Macaca fascicularis: one gene and its partners. The protein of the gene in region 6 binds, or shares a complex with, the protein of the main gene of each other region. Links are inferred from orthologs where the notes say so. Each region holds a gene or a part of one and is shown on either strand. Other genes may lie near its edges.

Region 1 (3,986 bases), on a different chromosome or scaffold from region 6:
AAAGATCAATTTAAAAAATTAATAAACAATAGTACAGGCAGTACTTAGCTATATAGAAATCAAGAAAACAGTCATAGATGACATTGCTTTATGATCAACTAAATGAATCTATTAGGGTAGAGTCCTTCTGTTGCTAAAAATTGTCACTACTCTATCAGAAAAAGCACTGATAAACAATGTTGCTAATGTGCCTTATGTTGAAATATAAAAGAATCCCTAAACTGACGCTACAAGGGACAGAAGTCCTAGGATTCTGAAAACGTTGATAAGGGTGCCAACAGAGAGCCCTTGCCCTGGAGCTGCCTTCTCCATTTATTTATTTATTTATTTATTTATTTATTTTTTTTTTTTTTGAGACGGAGTCTCGCTCTGTCACCCAGGCTGGAGTGCAGTGGCCGGATCTCTGCTCACTGCAAGCTCCGCCTCCCGGGTTTACGCCATTCTCCGGCCTCAGCCTCCCGAGTAGCTGGGACTACAGGCGCCCGCCACCTCGCCCGGCTAGTTTTTTGTATTTCTTAATAGAGACGGGGTTTCACCGTGTTAGCCAGGATGGTCTCGATCTCCTGACCTCGTGATCCGCCCGTCTCGGCCTCCCAAAGTGCTGGGATTACAGGCTTGAGCCACCGCGCCCGGCCTGCCTTCTCCATTTAAAAAGCAGGGGTGGCTGGGCACGGTGGCTCGTGTCTGTAATGCCAATACTTTGGGACACCAAAGCAGGAGGCTCGCTTGAGTTCAGGAATTCAAGACCTGGATGTACAAAACAGCAAGAACCCATTTCTATTTATTTAAAAAAGAGCATGGGGTTCCAGGGTTCTACGCTGCATCCTTTCTATTTCCATCCCTCACATATCTTGCTTCCATTAAGGAACACAGGAGGATCATGATGTGAACTGTGGGAAACAAGAGTGCAATCACTGAGAAACCTGCAAGAACCTGGGCTACCAGGAGGAAAAGTATTTCCCCTACACATGCTTTTGTATGAGAAGCCTATAGCCACTGGCTTCAGATATCCTGGCCTCTGGGTTTCTCCCACGGGGAAAAATGCTCACATCTACTGAGATAAGAAAAAAATGTTCTGGGACCTGGCACCTTACAACTAACGCCTCCACAAGCACTGGACCCATACCTTTCCCTGCTACCTCATCTTCTTCCAACGGAGACTTAAAACCTATGAAAGATAAAAACTCCTCTGAAACTAGACTAACCATGGAATTAAACATAGTGGGAAACGGGTCCTAAAGAGATAAAGTGCCTGGAACCATGATCTCCTTATTTTCAATAGCCTCTTTTTCCCTCTGGACCCAAGATCTTAAAATGGGCAAATTAGAAACAGACACAAGCTGGTCTAACTGCATTTGATGGCTGAGGGAAGGGTAGGCAAAAATCTTGGCCGGTCGCGGTGGCTCACGTCTGTAATCCCAGCACTTTGGGAGGCCGAAGCGGGCGGATCACCTGAGGTCTGGAGTTCGAGACCAGCCTGACCAACATGGAGAAACCCCGTCTCTACCAAAAATACAAAATTAGCCGGGCGTGGTGACGCATGCCTGTAATCCCAGCTACTCCGGAGTCTGAGGAAGGAGAATGGCTTGAACCCGCGAGGCGGAGGTTGCTGTGAGCCGAGATCGCGCCATTGCACTCCAGTCTGGGCAACAAGAGCGAAACTCCGTCTCAAAAAAAAAAAAAAGAAAGAAAGAAAAAGAAATAAAGAAAAATAAAGAAAATCTTTAAAAATACTGTTTCCTGATTGCTTATAACACACTCCCTCTAACCCTGTCTGCAGGTGGGTCACAGTCCAAAGACCCTATTTCCAACCCTGACGTCCCATTGCGGGCAGTACTATGGCCTCACGGGAAGGAAAATAAATCTAGAAGGGAATGAGGTACACAACCATTGATAGGTTCCTGGGATAAAAACTTTGCTTTGTCGGCCGGGCGCGGTGGCTCAAGCCTGTAATCCCAGCACTTTGGGAGGCCGAGACGGGCGGATCACGAGGTCAGGAGATCGAGACCATCCTGGCTAACACGGTGAAACCCCGTCTCTACTAAAAATACAAAAAACTTACCCGGGCGAGGTGGCAGGCGCCTGTAGTCCCAGCTACTCGGGAGGCTGAGGCAGGAGAATGGCGTGAACCCGGGAGGCGGAGCTTGCAGTGAGCTGAGATCCGGCCACTGCACTCCAGCCTGGGTGACAGAGCGAGACTCCGTCTCAAAAACAAACAAACAAACAAAAAAAAAAACAAAAAACTTTGCTTTGTCGACACCAGCCTGGCCAATATGGTGAAATCCCATTTCTACTAAAAATACAAAAAATAGCCGGGCGTGGTGGTGGGCGCCTGTAGTCCCAGCTACTCGGAAGGCTGAGGCAGGAGAATCGCTTGAACCCAAGAGGCGGAGGGTGCAGTGAGCCAAGATCGCACCACTGCACTCCAGCCTGGCGACAGAGCGAGACTCCGTCTTAAAGAAAAAAAAAAAAAAAAAAAAAAAACTTCGCTTTGCTTTCCCGCCTTCCAAGAGGAAGGGGCGCATCTCCGAGGAAACAAGGCCGGGGAACCCGCGGCTCGCACGGCATCCTCTCATCCACACAACCCGAGGACAGCTCCCAGGGGACGGCGGACCACGGTCAAGGTCCTCTTTTCGGCCCTTCACAACTCCAAGCTCCGCCCTACAAAACCCCCTGCAGTCCTACCAAGTCACTCCCATGGCGTCGGGCCAGGAAGGCGGCCGGATCACACGGTAGAAACGCAGGGTTCCCTATCCGCCCACAGAAACTGCTTCAGTTCCCCAACACAACCTTCGGTCTCGGAAGAGACTCCGGAAATACGTAAAAACAGAGCGCCGGGTCCACGCCTTCCCCAAGGAGTGGGGCGGGTCTCAGGGCCCCTCGGTGACACCTCTAGTGACATCATCTGCGGATTCCCGCCCACAGGTTTCTAAATCCAGACATTCTCGTTTGGCTGAGCACTCTAGGCCTAGACCCATGAAGCTAAGAGCGACACTCAAAGACTGCACTGTTGAGAGAAGCTAACGTTAAAGGCTGTAAATATATTGGGGAGTCCAGCACCGGAACCCGGGAGCTCTTTTAGTGGGAGGGGCGGCGCTGATGGCGCTTCTGGCCTCCGAATGCTAGGGGGCGCTGTGATCGCCGCGTGGCCTCTTGAGAGCCGGGAGTCCACCGCGCAAGCGCAATCTGGCTTTTTCGCCGTCTCCACGTGCGAACCTCCGCGGCAACGTTTTCGAGAAAAATGCCCAAATTGAAGGCGGCCCGTGGGGTCGGGGGTCAGGAAAAACATGCGCCCCTGGCCGATCAGATCCTGGCTGGGAATGCGGTGCGGGCAGGGGTCCGGGAGAAGCGGCGGGGTCGCAGGACCGGAGAAACGGAGGAAGAGTATGTGGGACCCCGGCTGAGCCGGCGGATTTTGCAGCAAGCACGGCAGCAACAGGAGGAGCTCGAGGCCGAGCATGGGACTGGGGACAAGCCCGCGGCGTCGCGGGAACGCACCACGCGGCTGGGTGAGTGTCTGGGATGAGATCCGAGGAAGACAGTGGCCAGTAGTGGGGCGGGGTGGACAGCTAAAAAGTGTCTGGCAGGGGAATTGCTTCGAGTCAACAAAGGGTCCGTATTACACTTGCAAAAGTAATGGAATGGGAGACTGAACCCTGTTCAGAGCCCTCCGCGTCCACTCCTAGTTTTAGGCACTCCCTTCTACACATCCCCTAAGTTAGGCCAACAGTAATCGCTCGCTCCACCCTAGCATTTATCCATTGGTTTTGTAAATATATATGGGATACCCACTACGAGCTTTGTACTATGCTCGGAGTTCTATCGAATGTTTGGGTACAGAAGTAAACAACATAGGCACGTCTGACTTAAGGACCTTACAGTCAAGCCCAGTAGAGAGTCAATTAAGTAGACTCTTAGAATAATATTTTTCTATGATAAAGTGTCGCTTCCCTGGTAACAATAGCATTGGTCTTGAGAAGCTTCTC
Region 2 (3,500 bases), on a different chromosome or scaffold from region 6:
CAAAATTATAGTCACCCTTAGTGCTTTCAGCATGGTAACACAGCCCCTTCAGGAGTTACTGAAGTGGAGACAACTATTAATATTTCCCCTTCCTCCAATAAGGCTGCTACCTTACATCTCCTGTTTTATGTTTCATCCACTGTCATTATAGTTGCAGCCTAATATTTTCTTTTGCTGTCTAATTATCCTAGCTCTTTCCAAGCCTGTGTGTTCACTGTTGGGTACACAGCACTTTGTCTTTAGCATCTAAGATAACTGGAACTGTCTTTCTTAGGCTGGAACCTTTGTGGAAATCCTAATGGCTCTAAAGAGTTGGCTTCTGGCCAGCCCTGATATAATGGGATATAAATCCAAGCTTTAGAAGCATCACATTATCTTGTACTTTAAAAACAAAATCAAATTATTATTTCAAAAGAGGAAAGAAACATAATCCCTAGCAATAATGGCTTCATAGAAAACAAAATTTATAAAACCCATGGCCTATATCATTACTTATAAACCATTAAAGATGTGAAAATATGTGGCAGAGGTTTCTAAGGATACATACATTCTAAATTAAATCTATGTGTGTACATAGTCACCTAAGAATTTTCAAAATCACATACATCTAGTATAAAACAGGAGTGTGTTTACCTGGAACCCAGGTCAGTGGAGCACATACAGCATTACTTGCACTGATCCTATGTGCATACTTAATTATTTCTTCAGAGGAGATAGCACCTGAAAGAGTTAAGAGGATAGTATAACCTGTAGTCTAACAAACATACAAGTTTAGAAATGTATCTATCAGTTACCCATCATATTTAATTTTAAATTACCTGAAAATAAAATCATCTCAGTCACCCGCCTTCCTTAACAATATCTACATATTTAGTATAAACTTAAATCTCCAAAAACAGGACACTAATCCAGAAACATTAGCTGACATAAACAAATTTTGGAGATTAGCATGACAGCACTCAATAATCTCAATTATTAACTACCATTAAATACTATTACTCTTCTGAAAGCAATAGTGAGCACAAATAAAATAGAGAAAATAGTGTTTTAGGCCGGGCGCGGTGGCTCAAGCCTGTAATCCCAGCACTTTGGGAGGCCGAGGCGGGCGGATCACAAGGTCAGGAGATCGAGACCACAGTGAAACCCCGTCTCTACTAAAAATACAAAAAATTAGCCGGGCGCGGTGGCGGGCGCCTGTAGTCCTAGCTACTCAGGAGGCTGAGGCAGGAGAATGGCGTGAACCCAGGAGGCGGAGCTTGCAGTGAGCCGAGATCGCGCCACTGCACTCCAGCCTGGGCAACAGCGTGAGACTCCGTCTCAAAAAAAAAAAAAAAAAAAAAAAAAAAAAAAAAAAAAAAAAAGAAAATAGTGTTTTATTTCTCAAAGACATCCAAGCTATGAAATCAGAGCAGACAGTTCACACCACTCTGTTTGATCAATATGCCCTAAGGCTCTTAAGTAGACCTAAGTAGAAAGATGTCTACAATGTACTCACTAGGTAAACAAAACACTACTAAATAATATGTTCGATATGACCTGATTGTTTAAAATACATGTACATATGTGTATTTGTATTTTTATTATATACATACTCACAGATCTAGAAAAAAAATCTAGAAGGACATATACCAAACATTAATAGTTACCTCTGAGAAGTGAGAACCACACACTTCATTTTACAAACTTTACTGTTTCAACCTAACAAAGTGTATGTAAAATTTTTGAAGATTAAAAACAAAATCAAACTACGGTCTAGAAGTCAATAGCCAGCCTCAGTCATCTCTCCTAGAGATTTGTTTGTTGCTATAGAAGCCTAACCTAACTCTCAGAAGAATATTAGCTATTTTTCATATGCAACAATAAAAAGGTAGGTTCCCAAAAAAGAGGACAGTTAGACAATAAATCTCAGATGAATAAATGTAAAATCATATGTACAAATCATTAAAGGCAAGTAACCAAAGTTGTAATTACAATTCTGACGTTTAGTATGGCAAACTAAAAAGTCACGTAAGATCCGTAACAGAAGCCTTTGAAAGAGGGACAGCAGGCCAGGAAGGCATGTGGGCCTCTGCACTACCAAACGTGCTTACCTGCCAAGACTATAACTGGCTCTGACTTCATGTACATCTGGCTCTGACTTCATGATGTTTCAGTCCCAGCTCAGCTGTCCAATGGATGTCCTTTCACTCTCTCTGTCCTAGCCTTCAAGATTTGGTACAAATTCCACTTCTAACCCGTACTTCTCTTTCCCTCTCCCACCAATTTTATAAACTCACTGTTTTTACTGCACATTTGGGCACACAGCCATAAACTGCCTTGTATTAATTGCTTTTTATAATCTGAAAAAGGATGTGATACTTCTACCTCCCTCACAACACCTAGCACAATGCTAGAACATAACACACTTTACAATAAAAATTTATTGAATCCTTTCAACAGCAGCAAATGATTATCAGTAATATCCTCTTGCACTGGTCTCTTGAAAACAGAACCTTAACTTCTCAAGTCATTCAGTCTTCCCATACTAACCTTTTCTTGCTTTTTCTATTGACTTGAGTTTCTCCTTTGCTTGGTAAACAGCTGTTGCCTAATTTAAACAACATAAAAAAAAAATGTGATTTATTCTTCAACTATATCAAACTTAGTTTTTGGCTTAATTCATAAGATCCTTTATCCTACAAGAACAATCTTCGAAACCTGGAAATCCCAACAATTATCTGTAATGTTCTGAAATACCTCTTGACATTATTTATTTCAGTCATATTTAATGAAAGAAATATTATATTTATGAACTAGTCTCCCATTCACAATTCAGTTGTAAAAACAAAATATAAATTGGATTGTCTACTTTTTCTTCACGTCTTCTATCATAAACACGCAGGAGATATCTAGACCATGCACAACCCCAAAAGCATCCTATTCTTGTAACTAGTTCAAGAATAAAATACCCCCCCCTTTTTTTTTTTTGAGATGGAGTTTTGCTCTTTTTGCCCAGCCTGGAGTGCAATCGCGTGATCTCGGCTCACCGCAACCTCCACCTCCTGGGTTCAAGCGATTCTCCTGCCTCAGCCTCCCAAGTAGCTGGGATTACAGGTGTGAACCACCATGCCCAGCTAAATTTTTTTGTATTTTTAGTAGAGATGGATTTCACCATGTTGGCCAGGCTAGTCTTGAACTTCTGACCTCAGGTGATCTGCCCGCTTTGGCCTCCCAAAGTGCCGGGATTACAGGCACGAGCTACCATGCCTGATTTTAATTTTTTTTTTTTTTCAGACAGAGTCTCGCACTGTCACCTGGGCTGGAATGCAATGGCGTGATCTCGGCTCACTGCAACCTATGACTCCCGGGTTCACACGATTCTCTTGCCTCAGTCTCCCGAGTAGCTGGGGTTACAGGCACACACCACCACACCTGGCTAATTTTTGTATTTGTAGTAGAGACGGGGTTTCACTATGTTGGCCAGACTGGTCTCGAACTCCTGACCTTGTGATCTGCCTGCC
Region 3 (4,195 bases), on a different chromosome or scaffold from region 6:
CCTTAGCCTCCCAAACGACTGGAATTACAGTCATAAGCCTGTAATAGCTGGCTTGACATACATTATTTTTTAGTCATCTTTCTCCCTCCATGGCTATGGCTCAAATGTTTGGAACATATTCAGATACTTGTTGACAAAATCTGGCCTGGCGCAGTGGCTCACGCCTGTAATCCCAGCACTTTGGGAGACCAAGGCAGGTGGATCACCTGAGGTCAGGAGTTCAAGACCAGCCTGGCCAACGTGGAGAAACCCCGTCTCTACTAAAAATACAAACATTAGCTAGCCATGGTGGTGCACGCCTGTAACCCCGCTACTTAGGAGGCTGAGGCAGGAGAATTGCTTGAACCTGGGAGGTGGGGGCTGCAGTAAGCTGAGATTGCACCACTGTGCTCCATCCTGGGCAACAGAGTGAGAATCCATCTTAAAAAAAAAAAAAAAAATCAGAGAAACAGGACCTAGAAAGATAGCTGCTGAGGGTTTGGCATAGAGGGGAGTGGGAATTAGTGTTTAAGGGGTAAAGAGTTGCAGTTTTATAGGATGATAAACAAGCATTTTAGGCTGGGCGTGGCGGCTCATCCCTGTAATCCTAGCACTTTGGGAGGCCAAGGCAAGTGTATCACTTGAAGGCAAGAGTTCAAGATCAGTTTGGCCAACATAATGAAACTGCAACTCTCTACTAAAAATACAAAAACTAGCCGGGCATGGTGATGCACGCCTGCAATCCCAGCTATTCGGGGGGCTGAAATACAAGAATCCACTGAACCGGGAAGTGGAGGTTGCATGAGCTGTTATCATGCCACTGCATTGCAGCCTGGGTGACCGATCGAGACTCTGTCTCAAAGAAAAAAACAGTTGTACTAAGTATTTTTTCAAGCTACTCACAATAAACCAAAGTTCTAAAGATCTGTTGTTCAGCAATGTTAATATACTTAACAATACTGAACAGTACACTTAAATATGTTAAGGTTTTTTTTTTTTTTTGAGACAGAGTCTTGCTCTGTCGCCCAGGCTGGAGTGCAGTGTTGCGATCTCGGCTCACTGCAATCTCCGCCTCCCAGGCTCGCACCATTGTCCTGCCTCAGCCTCCCAAGTAGCTGGGACTACAGGCACCCGCCATCACGCCGGACTAATTTCTTTCTGTATTTTTAGTAGAGACAGGGTTTCACCGTGTTAGCCAGGATGGTCTCAATCTCCTGACCTCGTGATCCACCCGCCTCGGCTTCCCAAAGTGCTCGGATTACACGCGTGAGTCACTGCACCCGGCCAAGATGGCAGATTTAATATGTTTAGTGCATGTAAAACTGTAATTTAAAGTAACAGTTAAAAACATAGTTGGGTGCCAGAAACTGTGCAGGCTGCTTTTGTGTTGTCTCTCATCTTAAGGGAAGCTGAACAGAGAAGAGGAAAACAGGTAATCCAAGTTCCCTGGTTCACTTACCCTGCAATAGGTACTCCATCATGTTAATGGTGCCCCCAGTGACAGGCATCATGGTGACTGGAGGTGCCTCCATGGTGTCTAAGTTGAAGACAACACAACTGGACTCAGAGCCCCCAGTCAGGTAAGGCACGGGATATACCTGGAAAAGAGTTCACTTGTTTATACATCAGAGTAGTCGAGAGAGACCAAATCTGTTGTGGCACTGGCCTTCAAATCAAAAGATTCATTCATTTAAAAACATTTCAGTGTCTTACATGGCCAGTTCCAGGAACTGATGATACAGAAATATAAAAAGGAGATCTGGTCATGGAGTTACAGCATTGCCTTCTAGTCTCAAGTTCTGAAACCTCCAAGTTACCTGTGCAATCTTGAGAAAGTCCTGTCTATAACCCCTCACCCTGGGACTCAATATCTTCCTCATAAAATGAGACCAGCAATTTTTTTTTTTTTTTTTTTTTGAGACAGAGTTTCACTCTTGTCGCTCAGGCTGGAGTGCAATGGTGCAATCTCTGTTCACTGCAGCCTCCGCCTCCCAGGTTCAAGCGATTCTCCTGCCTCAGCTTCCCGAGTAGCTGGGATTACAGGCACCCACAACCATACCCGGCTAATTTTTTTTAATATTTTTAGTAGAGACAGAGTTTTGTCATGTTGGCCAGGTTGGCCTTGAACTCCTGGCCTCAGATGATCCTCAGGTGAGTGGGCCTCCCAAAGTGCTGGCATTATAGGCGTGAGCCACCACGCCCAGCCAAAGGCCAATGATTTTTAACTCCCAAGGTTATGTGGCTCAAACGAGATAATAAAGAGGCAACAAAATTCAGAAGAACTGAAAAGTGTCTTAAGGGACCTTCATTTTTACAGATGAGGACATTGAGACTCAGAGAGGGACAGGATACACACAGCAACTTGGTAGCAGAGTTGGGACCAAACTAGAATCTAGGCATTCCATCGCTCTGAAAATGCCTTTCCCCCATACCCTTTTCTTTTTTGGTGACAGGATCTCGCTCTGTAGCCCAGGATGGAGTGCAGTGGGGGAGTTCCTAGTTCACTATAACCTCGAACTCCTGGGCTCAAGCGATCCTCCCACCTCAGCCTCCCGAGTAGCTGGGACTACAGGAGGGAGAGTCACTGCGGCTAGCCTAAAAATGCCTTTTAAAGAGAGCCAAGGCCAGGCGCGGTTTCTCACACCTGTAATCCCAGCACTTTGGGAGGCCGAGGCTGGCGGATCAACCGGAGGTTGGGAGTTCGAGACCAGCCTGACCAACATTAAGAAACTCCGTCTCTACTAAAAATACAAAAAATTAGCTAGGCCTGGTGGCGAGCGCCTGCAATCCCAGCTACTCAGGAGGCTGACGCAGCAGAATCGCTTGAACCCGGAAGGCGAGGTTGTGGTGAGCTGAGATCGCGCCGTTGCACTCCAGCCTGTGCAACAAGAGCGAAACTCCGTCTCAAAAAAAAAGAGAGAGCCAAGAGGAAGTTATTTTAAAATGATGGTATATAGGTCCTTCTAAGCCAGCATCCACAACACGTGTCCACTTAAACACTAGAAGCACACCTCCTTGAGGCTCTAGTGTCTTCTCGAGAAGTCGGGAATTATATGCACCCGCGCACCTAGGAGCCTTTGAGCGACGATTAGATCCCAGTCCTCCGGTTACCGGAGCCCGGGAAGCCCCCAGACCGGTGCAACCAGCCAACTTCCTGCTCTTCTCACTTCCGGTCGGAAGCCGAAGTCTCACAAACCTCGAAACTGCCGTTCCCAAACGTATGGGTGCCGAGAAGGCCGAAGAGCGTCATTGCGGACAGACAATCAGAAGCGCATGCGCAAAATGCCGGGCTGCTGTAAGAAAGATGGCGGCCTCCTTTGGAGCTTTCCTCCGGGGTCTACCTGGCGCCTTGACGTCACAGGCCATCCTCTAGGAAAATATTTTTAGGTTTGACAACCTGGAGATGTATTTGTGCAGAAAGTCTCTTGGAACTGATAGGACTTACAGAGATTATAATGGGCTTAAAAAGAAAAATGAACTGAGGGCGCGGTGGCTCACGCCTGTAACCCCAGCACTTTGGGAGGCCGAGGCAGGTGGATCACTTGAGATCACGAGTTTGAGACCAGCCTGGCCAAGATGGTAAAACCCCGTCTCTATTAAAAATACAAAAATTAGCCGGACATGGTGACACGCGCCTGTAATCGCAGTTACTAGGGAAGTTGAGGTGGGCGAATCGCTTGAACGTGGGAGGCAGAAGTTGCAGCGAACCGAGATCGTCCACTGCACTGTAGCCTGGGATACAGAGAGAGGCTCTGTCTCAAAAAAATAAATAAATAAATAATAAATAAAAATTTAAAAGTCTGGAAAAGGAGTAGGTCCAGATCCAGGAGTACTCTGCAGTGCCAGACTAAAAGAACACGTGTGAGCTTTAAAAGAACCCTGGTTGCAACATGGAGAAAAGTTTGGGAAAGGAGAGAGCCTAGAGAAAAATGACCAGGCGGGACATGGTGGCTCAGGCCTGTAATCCCAGCACTTTGGGAGGCCAAGGCGGGCAGATAGCTTGAGCTCAGGAATTAAGACCAGCCTGAACAACATGGTGAAACCCTGTCTCTACAAAAAATACAAAAATTAACTGAACGTAGTGGCTTGTACCTGCAGTCCCAGCTACTTGGGAGGCTGAGGTGGGAGGATTGCTTGAGCCCAGGAGGCAGAGGTTGTGGTGAGCTGAGGTAGTGCCACTGCACTCCAGCCTGTGCAACAGAGGGAGATCCTGTCT
Region 4 (2,434 bases), on a different chromosome or scaffold from region 6:
CTCCTCGGAAAGCAGGGTCAGAAGTGTCCACTGCCAGGCTCGGAGACGTGTGAGGCAGGCAAGGAAGGGTTAAAGAAAGGTCCGGCCCTCATCCCCCCGCCTCCCATCCCCCAGTCCTTTTTTGGAGGCAACAGACCAAATCCCAGGCTAGTCAGAGTGTGGGTAGGGTTGGGCCAGGTTCGGGAGAAAGCAGAGCAGGCCACCCTGCCCCAGCACTGTGGGGCCCTGAGCCAAAGCCTCTCCCCTTTCAGGGTACAGCTGGCTTTGCGGGAGGGGCAGCAGGCCGGCCAACTTGGCTCCAAGGAAGGGAAGCTGCTTTCCCCTGGCCCTTCCTCAGCTGAGCAAGTCCACATAGGACCCTAAGCCCTGCCACCTCTGCACCTCTTCCTCCTCCTCCTCACCACAGGAGTGCGCTTTCCCCGGCCACAGCACAGGCAGTCCAGGGAGAGAGCACTGTGCCCCGCCCCGGGTGACACTGATACCAACAGCACCCACAGTCGCAAAGGGATCCACGAGGAGCTTTATTTACACATGAACAAAGGTAGATTTCCCTCACATATTACAAAATATATACACACACACACACACACACACACACACACACACACACACTCTCTGCGTCTAGAAAGTTCCTCAGAAGTAAGATTACCCCTGGGCTGGGGCGGGCGCACACAGGGGTGACCACTGGGCTTGTGGTCCAGGCTGCTCACACTCCTCAGGTGCTGGCAGACAGAGAAGAAATTTCAAAAGAGGAAACCAGGAGACATCCTGGAGGTCAGGAGTCAGAAGCGGGGAATTAGAAGCTGCCAGAGGCTCTTGCACCATGTGGAGCGGATGTGAGCCACGATGCCTCATCTTTCCTCACTGCTTCCCTTGGAGGCACCTGGGGCTGTGCCAGTCCCCAGCCCCCAGCCCCCACTGCGGCCATGCCAAGCTCCTCAGAGTGCAGCAATGGCTTTAGCAGCCACCTGGCGGCCCAGGGGCAGGCTGAGGTCCGTGATGGCCAGAACCACCTTGGGGCTGGACATGGCTGACACCTTCACCAGTTCCGACACCTGCCACAGACAGAGATGCTGCTTGCTGGATGGCTGGTGGTGGGCGTGCTGTCCCAGGGGAAGGAGGCCCCTCCCTGCTCCAAGGGCTGCACCGAGGCCCCAGCACCAGCGGGAGAGCCAGGAAGGTGGTACTCACGGTGGTGAAGGGCATGAACTGCAGGACACTGCCGCGGCCACCCTGCTCCAGGCAGTCCACACACTCCTCCATGAACCACTGCACGAACTGGGTGTGGGGCCCAGCGGTGCGCGACCCCAGGATGGAGGAGATGAGCAGGAAGAGGTTGGCTGTGGAGAGTGACAGGAGGGAGTTCCATGAGAGGGGGTGAGGTCACACTCTGGGAGAAGGCGGGACTGAAAAGGGAAAAGAAATACATGCTGAGCATGTCCCCAAAACGGGGTGTCAGAGAGAGAAAATATAAAAGGCAACCGGGGAGGGGAGGGGGGGAACTAGACAGGAGCCTGGGAGCCAGGACAGCCAGCAATGAGGAGCATGGAGGGAGAAGGGAGGGGCACCATGAGGCCCCTTCCAGATGACAAGGTCGCCCAGCCTCCATGAGGAGAGGGACTCGTCCAGCTTAACCCCAGGTTCAGCAGCACGGGTGGGGAACTTACCCAGGACTCGGTTCAGAGGGTCCCGCATGTTGACGGTGTGGAGCTGAGAGGCTGAGAGGGAGCTGCTCATGGACCGGTCTGCTGTGGGACAGAGCAGACAGAGCGCTGGGGAACAGCCTGCCGAGTGCAAAAGCGGCGCTCCCTGGGGATACCCCCACCTGACCTTCACCCATCGGAGGTAACTGGTACATGGAAAGCCCAGAGAAGACCCTGAGATCAAGAGCACAGAGGGAGGCTGGGTGCAGGGGCTCACACCTGTAATTCCAGCACTTTGGGAGGCCAAGGCAGGAGGACTGCTTAAGCCCAGGAGTTCAAGACCAACCTTGGCAACTAGCGAGACCCCATCTCTACAAAAAATACAAAAATTAGCTGGGCATGGTGCCAAAGCCTGTAGTCCCAGCTCCTTGGGAGGCTGAGGCAGACTGCTTGAGCCCAGGAGAACAAGGCTGCAGTGAGCCGAGATGGTGCCACTGCACTCCAGCATGAGCAACAGAGCAAAACCCTGTCTCAAAAAAACAGGCTGAGCGCGGGGGTTCATGCCTGTAATCCTAGCACTCTGGGAGGCCAAGGCGGGTAGATCACCTGAGTTCAGGAGTTTGAGACCAGCCTGACTAATATGGCGAAAGCCCATCTCTACTAAAATACAAAAATTAGCCGGGCGTTGTGGCAGGCGCCTGTAGTCCCAGCGACTCAGGAGGCTCAGACAGAAAAACTGCTTAACCCAGGAGGCGGAGGTTGCAGTGAGCCAAGATCACGTCACTGCACTC
Region 5 (3,500 bases), on a different chromosome or scaffold from region 6:
ATGAGCAGCATTCCCCTGGGGACACTGAGGCCCAGAGAGTGGCTGAGATGTGGGGAGGGCACACAGTGGTCAGGGCGGCTGGCCCTGTGGAACTGAGCCTCTCACAGGAAAGACAGGGTTAGCACTGAGTGAAGCAGCCGCCATGATGAGCACACGCCCAGCTGGTGCCCGGGGCGCCCTCACAGCCCGATTTACGTCCCCTCCTCCATCCAACTGACGGCTGCGGTCAGCATTTCTTTTTTTTTTTTTTTGAGACGGAGTCTCACGCTGTTGCCCAGGCTGGAGCGCAGTGGCGCGATCTCGGCTCACTGCAAGCTCCGCCTCCCGGGTTCACGCCATTCTCCTGCCTCAGCCTCCTGAGTAGCTGGGAGTATAGGCGCCCGCCACCGCGCCCGGCTAATTTTTTGTATTTTTAGTAGAGACGGGGTTTCACTGTGGTCTCCATCTCCTGACCTTGTGATCCGCCCGCCTCGGCCTCCCAAAGTGCTGGGATTACAGGCGTGAGCCACCGCGCCCGGCCTGCGGTCAGCATTTCTAAATGACAGGGGACTTGAAGCAGGGGGAGGCTAAGCTGCTAAGTGCGGACGTGGGGCAGTGGGTGAAGAGCTGGGTGCCGCAGGGACTGAAGCCTGGCATGGTGGGCACGTGGGGTGGTGGGGGAAGAGATGGGTGTGGCAGGGACTGTGTCTCAGTGGCCCCCAGCTGCAGGGACGTGAGACCCAAGAAAGGCTGTGGCGTGCATGTGAGACGTGGCTCTTAGGGACGAGTAGGAGCTGGGCCAGCAGGTGAGGACGGCTGCAGGAGACGAGGAGGAGCGTTGGAGCCCGGGACTACCCGGTGGTCTGGTTGTGGGCAGACGGTGGACACAGATGTGCCCAGCGGGGGTACCAGGCAGTGAAGCTGAGGGTCCTTGCAGCCCTGCCTGCCACGCGGGGTGGCGCCAGGTGCTGCCATAGGAACCAGCGCAGCTCAAACTGCAGGGTGACTCACCACAAGGCCCGGGGGAAGGAACGAGGCCTGGGGGAAGGAACGGCAGTGGCCCTCTTCAGCTGCCTGGTGACTCACGACGAGGCCCGGGGGAAGGAACGGGCAGCCGCCCTCTTCACCTTTACCGCCCCTGCGGCCACAATGGGCAGTTGACGTAAACACCTGCAGGCCCCAGGAGCCATCGGGGCCTCTCGACAGGGGCTCATTAGTGGCTTCTGAGGAGCACCAGCCCACACGTCCGGCCGCTCCAGGGTCCATTCGCGCTCGTCGGCAAAGGCCTGGGCTCTTGTCTGCCAGGAAAACACTTCCCTTCTCCAGGGCGGAGGCCGGAAACCGGGCCCGCAGCCGCCGAGGCTCTGAGCACCAAGTGGCTGTTCTGGCCACGGTCATGGCAGGCGGGCGTCCCTGCTTCGCTCCAGCCCCAGATTTTGTGCCGGAGGTGGGGGTGACGGGCTTGGCTCCGTGGGTGCGGGGGCCCATCGGGCAGATAGAGATGGGAATGGGGGCCCCAGAAGAGGCTGCTGGGGAGGTGGGTGGGGGCGGGGGTGGGGTGAGGGGCGTGTTCTCAGCAGCCTCAGCTGACCCGCTGAGCCGTGGCTTCCTCTCCCTGAACCAGCTTCTGGAGGATTCCGTGCACTGCCCCCGCCCGGTCTGGCCTGTGCCCTGCTGCCTGACGGCCCCACCCACAGACCCACACTCCACAGCCGCCTGCACGCCTGCAGCCCCTCACGGTGTCCCTGCTGGGTGAGCTCGGGTGAGCAACGCCGCCTCTGAGCCCCGGCTCCGCGTAGGATGGTGGCAGCCGCTGCGGCGGGAGTGGAAGGATGGAAGAGTCTACATGCCTAACACACTCAGAAGGCCGGCAGGCACGGGGGTCACGCCCCAGATCCTAGCACTACTGGAGGTCAAGGCAAGAGGATCGCTTAGGGGTGGGGTTCAGGACCACCCTGGGTGACAGAGCGAGACCCGCCTCCAAATTAAAACCAGCTGCCCCCAAGGGCAGGCCCAGGGCCTCCCGCAGCCGGCCGGAGACTCACCCACGGGGGAGATCTGCTGGAAGATGTTGTTCACGGGAAGCCCCTCCTTGCGCAGGGACCAGCATTCCACGATGCTGCTGGTCTGGCTGGACGCGCACAAAAGCACCTACGGGGGAGGTGGGGGTGAGGGCAGACCCGGCACTGCTGTGCTGGCCACGCGACCAGAGCCTGAGCCATGGGACCCTGGGGCCACGCCTGCCCCTCGAGGCCCTCCTGGATTCCAGCCCAGGCCTGCCTGTCCCCAGTTCCACTCACAGGAACCCAGATGTCCCCGGATGGTGCCCCCCACAGGGAGAGCAACGGGACAGGGAACCAAGTCGGGGGCTTCTAGGAGTTTGGGGCGTTACTGATTCCGAATTACAACGGAAATCCAGGCGACCTGGTGTGGTCGGCTGGACAGTGGTCCCCAGGACATCCCATCCTCAGCTCTAGGACCTGTGGCTGGGCCGCCTCTCACACAGAAGGAACCTGTGGGTGGGATTTGGTTCAGGACGCTGAGACGGGAGAGCATGTTGGGGGGGTCCAGGGGCCCCATTGTCTTCACAGAGTCCTCACGAGAGGATGTGGGAGGGCGAGATTCAGAGAGAGACAGGAAGAGGCTGTGCTGTGGCCGTGAAGCGGGAGGAAGGGGCCCCGAGCCGAGGGACTGGGCGCCCCCAGATGCTGGGAAAGGTAGGAAATGGGTTCTCCCCTGGAGCCCCCAGGAGGGACCGGCCCTGCCCACACCTTGGTTTAGCCCACGGCCCCTGTGGGTCTCCACCTCCAGGACCCTGAGAAGCAGCGTTCCATTCCAAGCCTGCCAGCCTGCGTGACAGCCCGTGTCCGCTCACCTGCTCCGACATGTCCCGGGCCAGGAACTTGAGATGGGTGATGGCGGGGAACTTGTCCTTGCGGTTCAGGTCGGTGGTGCAACGCATGAACAGGGAGGGCAGGATCTCCGTGTCGATGCGGCACTTCTCGCTCACCACGCTCACGCACACCTTGTAGAACTGCACGGGCGACGCGCTGCTGCCGTCTGCCGTGGCCACCACGATGTTGCCGCCGCCTGTGAAGGCGATGTCCGCCAGGGCCACACGGCCGCGCAGCCGGCACAGGCTCTCGGTGGACGTCAGCACCTGCCCGCTGGGCTTCAGCAGGGACACGGTGACCAGGCCGCTGACCGTCACTGCGATCCAGCCCTCCATGGGCTTGCCGCCGAACAGCGTGAGCGACGGTGAGAACTTCACTCGGGAGAACTTCTCCCCGAAGCTGGAGGCGCCTGACTGTGGAGAAGGGAGGGAGGAGGGGCCGCTCAGGCTCACGGGGGTTCCCTCTGTGACCCCGAGAAACACTCACACAGAAGAACCACGCAGAAGCCAGGGGAGTGTGCACCTGGGTTCAGATCCTGACTCAGCCACCTGAGCCGTGTGGGATGTGGTCCCCTCCGACCCTCCGTCTCCTCATCTGAAAGGTGGAAGGAATGGCACCTTTGCTTTG
Region 6 (3,483 bases):
GAGGGTAGCAATCCAATTAGAAGTAAGAAATTTAGGCCAGGCGCGGTGACTCACGCCTGTAGTCCCAGCACTTTGGGAGGCTGAGGCAGGTAGATTATGAGATCAGGAGTTCGAGACCAGCCTGGCCAATATGGTGGAACTCTGTCTCTACTAAAAAAAAAATACAAAAGTTAGCCGGGCGTGATGGCACACACCTGTAATCCCAGCTACTCAGGAGGCTGAGGGAGGAGAATCGCTGGAACCTGGGAGGCGGAGGTTGCAGTGAGCTGATATTGCACCACTGCACTCTAGCCTGGGCGACAAAGCGAGACTCCGTCTCAAAAAAAAAAAAAAGAAAAAAAAAAAAAAAAAGAAAGAAAGAAAGAAAAAAAAGAAATTTAGAGTGTAAGGTAAACAGGGGAGATGATTGGAATAGAACGAAGACTTTGACTTGTTGATCCAGCCCCCAGCATTCTCCCAAGAGACCACCCTTCCCAGACATGCAGAACTCACACACTCCCTTTGCAAAGAAGCTCTGTGTATTGGGTGCAACAGCTCTGGGGTCTCTATATAAATAATATACAAAACCCAACAGCTCAATGCCTCACATTAACAAAAATACTAAAAACTTATTAAAAACGGAGCCTGAGGGAAGGGCCCCAACCACTACTGGTGCTAGCCCAGGAACGGGATTGGGAATTAAGAGGAAAGGGTGGGGCCACATCCAGTGCACAAGCAGTTCCTCCAGGTGGCTCAGTAGCGTCCAAATATGTTGGTACTGGGCTGTGGCTGGGTATCTGTGAAAAACCAGAGATTATCAGGGATGGCAGACCAGGCAGGGGTGTGGGTATGCACGAGGAAAGCTGTTCAGGTATCAAGGGAAGGGGATGGAATGGAATGCCTCCTCTCATAACCTGGGCCTGAAGCCATCTTTTCAGCTACTTTGGCCCACCCCGCCCCCTAAATTTATTCCATGGGGTTCTCCTTGGGAAGGCAGGCAGGCTTACTGGAGAGCTGTTGTTGAAGTTGCCGGACCAAAGCTGCTGTCTGTTGCTGCTGCTGGGTCTGCTGAAGCCCCTGGCGCTGGAACTGGGTGGAAATAGGAAGTGGAAGACTGAAGTCTAACTTTTCGCCTTCTTCAACCTCCTTTCCCAATCCGTTTGTTTTTGTTTTTGTGACGGAGTCGCGCTCCATCCCCCAGGCTGGAGTATAGTGGTGTGATCTCGGCTCACTGCAACCTCTGCCTCCCAAGTTCAAGCAATTCTCTGCCTCAGCCACCCACGTAGCTAGGATTACAGGTGCCCACCACCATGCCTGGCTTTTTTTTTTTTTTTTTTTTTTTTTAATTTTTAGTAGAGATGGGGTTTCACCATCTTGGCCAGGCTGGTCTCAAACTCCTGATCTCAAGTGATCCACCTGCCTCGGCCTCCCAAAGTGTTGGGATTACGGGCGTGAGCCTCGCACCTGGCCTCCCAATCCCTCTTTAGGGTGCCATGCCCTGCCTCCCACCTCTACCCTATTCCATACTGTCCCCAACCCAGTTCACTGGCTGCATGCCCAACCTGGGCAGTTGTCCCTGAGCCTGGGGCTCTAGTCCAGTAGCTACCTGGGGCTGGGACTGGGGCTGGGGTTGGGGAGGAGCCGCCTGTTGCTGCTGTTGCTGCTGGTGTTGCTGTTGTTGCTGTTGCTGCTGCTGCTGTTGCTGTTGCTGTTGCTGCTGCTGCTGCTGCTGTTGCTGCTGCTGCTGCTGCTATAAGAACATAAAAGATACTTCAGAAGGAGCAGAGGGAGAAAGCTAAGACTCAGAACTGGAGGGCTGAGGGCAGGGGATGAGGAAGCAGGGTGGGAGCTCGGGGTCTACTGCCTTCCCTTTTTAGACAGCTGCCCAGAAAGAAACCAAATCTAGGGTACCCAGTGGACAATGTCCAACTCTCTCCTACTATGATTCCCAGAAAACAAAAAGGGGGAGGGTAGGAAACTAACTTCTCCAGCACCACTAGAGGCCAGCTGCTCTGCTAGGTGTTTTGATACACTGCCTCGTTTAGTCTTGGTAACTGTGTGGGAAGAACTTGTGCCTCTCCTCTTCCCTGGGCTCCCAGGTCCCAGAGGAAATTTCCCCAGTGCCTTACCCGCAGGATCTGCTGCTGCTGCTGCTGCCGGATGTGGTACTGCTGCTGCTGCTGTTGCTGTTGCTGTTGCTGCTGCTGCTGCTGTTGCTGTTGCTGCTGTTGCTGCTGCTGTTGCTGCTCAGGTAGGATGGCTGTTGAGCGGACGCCTGCCTGGACGCCCTGGGCACTCATTGGAGTCATGGTACTTATCATGGGTGTCTGCTGCAGTGTCTGGTGTGAAAACCTCCAAAGACAAGAGGACCAGAGGTCAAGGTGTGAGGGAGGTGGGGAGAGGGGGTCAGTATAAACCTCGGGTCCCTGACCTGAAAGAAACGTTAGCAGGTTATTTCATTCATTCCTCTTGTCACTAACCAGACTTCCAGTCTGGGGAATAAGTTGCATAAGATGATACTCTATTTTAGTGTCTCATAACCTTAATGGTTAGGAATTTTTCATCTGCATTAGCTATTTTTTCTCTTACAAAAATGAAAAATAGGGCTGGGTACGGTGGCTCACACCTGTAATCCCAGCACTTTGGGAGGCTGAGGCGGGCGGATCACTTGAGGTCAGGAGTTCCAGACCAGCCTGGCCAACATGGTGAAACCCCGTCTCTAGCAAAAATACAAAAAAAAAAAAATAGCTGAGCGTGGTAGTGGGCGCCTGTAATCCCAGCTACTCAGGAGGCTGAGGCAGGAGAATTGCTTGAACTCCAGCCTGGACGACAGAGCGAGACTCTATCTCAAAAAAAAAAAAAAAAAATAGGCATTCTATAAACACTCATTGAGGTTTTTTGCTGTTGCTGTTGTTGTTCCCCAATAACATTTCAAGTTGTTCTACTACACCTGTATATCACTCCAAGAGTCTACTGGCCAGGCTCCCCGTCTCAAGTCTTCTTTTTTCTTTTTGAGACAGAGTCTCACTCTGTCGCCCAGGTGGGAGTGCAGTGATGCAATCTCGGCTCACTGCAACCTCCACCTCTCAGGTTCAAGCAATTCTCCTGCCTCAGCCTCCCGAGTAGCTGGAATTACAGGCGCATGCCACCACACCCAGATAATTTTTGTATTTTTAGTAGAGACGGGATTTCACCACGTTGACCAGGCTGATCTCAAACTCCTGACCTTAGGTCATCTGCCCACCTGGGCCTCCCAAAGTCCTGGGATTACAGGCATGAGCCACCACGCCCAGCCTGAAGTCTTCTTCTTGCACCTCCCAGTACACATGCTATCCATTCATTCCAAGGAGTCTTGCAACATACCCAACTCCTCCTATCACTCTTCTGATCAAAAGAGTCCTTACTGGGACTGTGTCTCAATTCTTCAGCTGAGCATTCAAGGCCATCTCTCAGCCTGCCCCCTCCTAGCCTAGCCCCAGTGACTTCCCCAGCACAGATTTTACA
Region 7 (3,702 bases), on a different chromosome or scaffold from region 6:
GGGTAACATAGTGAGACCTCATCTCTACTCAAAGAGAAAAAAAAAATTTTAGGCCAAGAATGGTGGCTCACTCCTGTAATCCCAGCACTTTGAGAGGCCCAGGCGGGCAGATCACGAGGTCAGGAGATCCAGGCCATCCTGGTCAACATGGTGAAACTCCTTCTCTACTAAAAATACAAAATTTAGTGGGCATGGTGGCACGTGCCTGTAGTCCCAGCTACTCGGGAGGCTGAGGCAGGAGCATCGCTTGAACCTGGGAGTTGGAGGTTGCAGTGGCCCCAGATTGCGCCACTGCACTCCAGCCTGGCGAAAGAATGAGACTTCATCTCAAAAAATAAAAAAAAAAAGTTTTAAGAGATAAAAAAGAAGTGAACATGTACACATGCCTTGAAAAGAGAAGATAATGTGGACAAGGTGATTTGAACAGACAATAGAAACATAACTGGAAGCAAGATTCTTCTGAAGGTGCTGTAATGGCTGAATAGTTAAGACACAAACTATCACCTTCAAAAATCAATTCGTTTTATTATCTTAGTTACATTTTCCTTCGCCCTTCCGACACATCCAACACTTAAACTAGCATCAGGCATAGAGGTGACCACAGTAAGTATTCATCAAATGAATACCATGAATAAATGAATAGCTGGGGAAAAACTACTCTCATAAAGAGAACACAGATTTGTACAGTCAGTTTATTTTTGCTATTTATATTAAGTTTACACGTGCCTGATCTGTAGTGGATATCTCGTTGTTAGTTCAGCACCACTTCCTTCCTCTGAGACAGACTGACTCTTCCATACATAGACATAGTGGGGACTGTCAAATTATTATGGGAGCCAAGTCCCAGTTGATTTGCCCAGTTGGAATCAAGTATGCAACCCCTAATTCCTCATGTCTAGGTCGTTAATTAACCTCATTTTTTTTCGTATTTGAGAGAGAACTCCCAGACAGTGGTAAACATAGAAATGCTTAACACATGGGAACTGTTAGTTGCCATGTTCTCCACCTACATCATTAAAGAAGTTCATCAGTAAAGAGAATGAAGCTAACAGGAAGGATGGTCTCCAGGGCTACTAACTCAAAACTTCAGACACTTTCTGTCCTCCTCATGGTTTATATGTTCAACTTATCCTTCAATCAACATACCCTATATCCTTTCCTTTTAAAATTAAATAGCAATGGAGAGAAGTTCTCACTATGTTGCCCCCGCTGGTCTTTTCAACTTTCTGGTTGAAAAGGTCTGGGATGGAGCTAGAGAAACTTCATTTATTTTTTATTTTTCTGAACCTATGGATTATACTAAAACTTTTATTTCTAGTGAGTCCCCAAATGGTACCAATGCTGCTGGTCCAGGACCACACACTTTAAGAACTACTGGCCTACATTAAGAAAATGGCAGGCAAAGATCCTCAGAAACAAAGTCAACTCTCTACTAACACCTTGGTGGAAGAGGTGATGGACAGTGGGGAGAAGAAAGTGCTCACATAAAGTCCAATTAGTGAGGGGCAGAGTGGAGTTAATGAAAAGAAGACTTAGTCCTCACAGTCATTCAAAGACCCAGACTGACAATCTTTGCCATCTTCGGTGGCTTCCAAACTTATCCTGGATATGACCATGCAACCAGCAGTTGGGAGAAAAGAATGGAGGATCATGCAAGAAATGTTTATGGGGCAAGCCTGGATTCCTATGCCCACATTTCACTGCCTAGAACTTAATCATATGTTCTCACAGAGATGCTGGCAGTACGGAAATGTCCCTGGTTGGGTTGCCACATCTTGGCAACGTATCTTCAAAGAACAAGACTCTCTGGTAGACACCTAGCAGTCTCTGCCGTCAAACCCCTTTCCCAATGTGGACTTAAGCAAGTCTGGGCTTAGCTTTAAAGAAAATGTGTAGCTAATGACATAGACATCTTAATTACTAAAATTAATGTCTGTAACTTAAAATGGCCAAAGGACTTATTACCTGAGTGACTGGAGAAAAAAACAATTCATGGGACTTGCCTGCAAGAGTCTATTCAGGATAGGGAGAAAAGACTGAGATAGTGGGTTTACAGGAGCAGTCATGAGGAAAAAATAAAGTTTCTGTTTTATAATTCTTCTGGGCTCCTCTCTATTAACATGTTATACTACCTTTTGCAGCTTAAGCAAAATTTTTAATGGAATAAGTTTAAAGATATCATAGTTTTACATTTATAGATTGATATCCATTATTCCTCTATCATTCTTAAAGCAAATGATAAATCCCCTTTTCAAAGACGAAAACTTTTGCTATTACTGAGGTTATCATCAAAGTTTTACCGCAACTCCAAAACATAGGAATGTCCCATACAACAGCGGTGAACACTTTGCTTTTTAAAGTGATTATTCTTAGTGCAGGGGTACTCATTTGTCTATGCTTGTTATACAGTGAAATTACTGCCTATGACATCTCATAATTGAAAAAGTTGGAGTCAAGATTAAAGCTGTTTACATTTTTAGTGAAACCTCTCTTAAGACTGTCCAAAAGAAAATAAACTAATATATGAGGCTATTTATCAAAAGGAAAAAAGAAACATAAACATCTTTCATGGTCTTTCATTCATTTCATCAATTAGGACACACAAGGCAGCATCTTTCTCTATAATCTGATCTCTCCTATGACCTGAATTTTCTCTTTGTTCATTCTGTCCAGTACAATTGTTGCTATCATCAGCATCCATTGGTTCAGTTTTTACTCTCATTCCTGCTTCTGAATGAGGCAAATCATCAGGCAAAGAAGCCAAGCAATTCTGAATCATTTCAATTACTCGTTCTAGGTGCTTTTGAAACCTCTCAGCTGTTTCAAGCCGTTGACGTTTCTGGACCTCCATCATGACTCTCAAGGTCTCTCTTGCTTGGTGGGGTCGGTATTCATTTATAAGATGATGCACGTGTACAAAAAGCAGCTTAAGATCTTCTAGTTTCTCTTCTCGTTTTATACTCCCAGGGCTCCTTATTAAAATATCTAAAAGGTCCAAGAAATTAATAAGGATAGACATATTAAGTTTTCTCAGTTCTTTTTTGTGATCAAACTGCATAGGATGAAGCCGTTCGATGCCCTGACTTTCCAAAGGGCGGATGATAAGATCATCGCATTGGAACTGATTGCCAAACATCATGTAACTATCTTTTATTGGAGGGGGAGGCTTGGGAGCTAAGCCTTCTTGAATATTTTCATCTGTATATTCCTTGATATATTGCATTGGAGGTGGTGGAAGTGCACTTACTTGCTGTGGTTCACCCATTGTGGACTATCAAGAACCTATGGACACAGACCAAAGATTTATTAGAGCCACAAAACAAACCTGTTACATTTCATAACTACAGACAGAATATTTTCTTCCTTTTCTTCCAGTAGTTTGGGGTCCAAGACAAGATGATCTCCTTGGTTTCTAAAACTAACATTTATGATAGGTAAAGTTTGCCATATTTTCTAAGTAGGCATTATATTCTCAACCATTCACATATTTTCCATTCTCTCCCTAATAATTTCATCAGCATGAAAAAATCTGTAGCATCTTCTGATCTCTAAAGAAAATCTTCCACCGGGTGCGATGGCTCACACCTGTAATCCCAGCACTTTGGGAAGCCGAGGCAGGTGGATCACAAGGTCAGGAGATCGAGACCATCCTAGCTAACAGGGTGAAACTCCGTCTCTACTAAAAGACAAAAAAAATTAGCC

Evidence for each region.
Region 1: MED12 (region 6) and MED20 share a complex: the UniProt entries of both Homo sapiens proteins name them as parts of the mediator complex. The link is inferred for Macaca fascicularis from reciprocal best matches to the Homo sapiens genes MED12 and MED20.
Region 2: MED12 (region 6) and MED4 share a complex: the UniProt entries of both Homo sapiens proteins name them as parts of the mediator complex. The link is inferred for Macaca fascicularis from reciprocal best matches to the Homo sapiens genes MED12 and MED4.
Region 3: MED12 (region 6) and MED18 share a complex: the UniProt entries of both Homo sapiens proteins name them as parts of the mediator complex. The link is inferred for Macaca fascicularis from reciprocal best matches to the Homo sapiens genes MED12 and MED18.
Region 4: MED12 (region 6) and MED24 share a complex: the UniProt entries of both Homo sapiens proteins name them as parts of the mediator complex. The link is inferred for Macaca fascicularis from reciprocal best matches to the Homo sapiens genes MED12 and MED24.
Region 5: MED12 (region 6) and MED16 share a complex: the UniProt entries of both Homo sapiens proteins name them as parts of the mediator complex. The link is inferred for Macaca fascicularis from reciprocal best matches to the Homo sapiens genes MED12 and MED16.
Region 7: MED12 (region 6) and MED7 share a complex: the UniProt entries of both Homo sapiens proteins name them as parts of the mediator complex. The link is inferred for Macaca fascicularis from reciprocal best matches to the Homo sapiens genes MED12 and MED7.

Annotation. Positions count from the first base shown.
Region 1 is NC_088378.1:129,648,080-129,652,065, reverse strand, and holds the start of MED20 (mediator of RNA polymerase II transcription subunit 20), read right to left. Parts: upstream 2,801-3,986; 5' UTR 2,700-2,800; coding exon 2,686-2,699; exon of another isoform or gene 2,063-2,685; intron 1-2,062. Other genes in the region: BYSL (bystin), read left to right, coding at 3,242-3,509. UniProt on the Homo sapiens protein: Component of the Mediator complex, a coactivator involved in the regulated transcription of nearly all RNA polymerase II-dependent genes.
Region 2 is NC_088391.1:27,201,984-27,205,483, forward strand, and holds part of MED4 (mediator of RNA polymerase II transcription subunit 4), read right to left. Parts: intron 2,588-3,500; coding exon 2,530-2,587; intron 721-2,529; coding exon 634-720; intron 1-633. UniProt on the Homo sapiens protein: Component of the Mediator complex, a coactivator involved in the regulated transcription of nearly all RNA polymerase II-dependent genes.
Region 3 is NC_088375.1:206,730,028-206,734,222, forward strand, and holds the start of MED18 (mediator of RNA polymerase II transcription subunit 18), read right to left. Parts: upstream 2,801-4,195; 5' UTR 1,860-2,800; coding exon 1,797-1,859; intron 1,578-1,796; coding exon 1,439-1,577; intron 1-1,438. UniProt on the Homo sapiens protein: Component of the Mediator complex, a coactivator involved in the regulated transcription of nearly all RNA polymerase II-dependent genes.
Region 4 is NC_088390.1:61,081,175-61,083,608, forward strand, and holds the end of MED24 (mediator of RNA polymerase II transcription subunit 24), read right to left. Parts: intron 1,749-2,434; coding exon 1,668-1,748; intron 1,407-1,667; exon of another isoform or gene 1,341-1,406; coding exon 1,192-1,340; intron 1,056-1,191; coding exon 939-1,055; 3' UTR 501-938; downstream 1-500. UniProt on the Homo sapiens protein: Component of the Mediator complex, a coactivator involved in the regulated transcription of nearly all RNA polymerase II-dependent genes.
Region 5 is NC_088393.1:1,447,586-1,451,085, forward strand, and holds part of MED16 (mediator of RNA polymerase II transcription subunit 16), read right to left. Parts: exon of another isoform or gene 3,287-3,500; coding exon 2,855-3,286; exon of another isoform or gene 2,791-2,854; intron 2,697-2,790; exon of another isoform or gene 2,131-2,696; coding exon 2,025-2,130; exon of another isoform or gene 991-2,024; intron 1-990. UniProt on the Homo sapiens protein: Component of the Mediator complex, a coactivator involved in the regulated transcription of nearly all RNA polymerase II-dependent genes.
Region 6 is NC_088395.1:77,840,620-77,844,102, reverse strand, and holds the end of MED12 (mediator of RNA polymerase II transcription subunit 12), read right to left. Parts: intron 2,332-3,483; coding exon 2,109-2,331; intron 1,730-2,108; coding exon 1,586-1,729; intron 1,069-1,585; coding exon 987-1,068; intron 777-986; coding exon 733-776; 3' UTR 501-732; downstream 1-500. UniProt on the Homo sapiens protein: Component of the Mediator complex, a coactivator involved in the regulated transcription of nearly all RNA polymerase II-dependent genes.
Region 7 is NC_088380.1:163,928,006-163,931,707, forward strand, and holds the end of MED7 (mediator of RNA polymerase II transcription subunit 7), read right to left. Parts: intron 3,283-3,702; 5' UTR 3,266-3,282; coding exon 2,567-3,265; 3' UTR 501-2,566; downstream 1-500. UniProt on the Homo sapiens protein: Component of the Mediator complex, a coactivator involved in the regulated transcription of nearly all RNA polymerase II-dependent genes.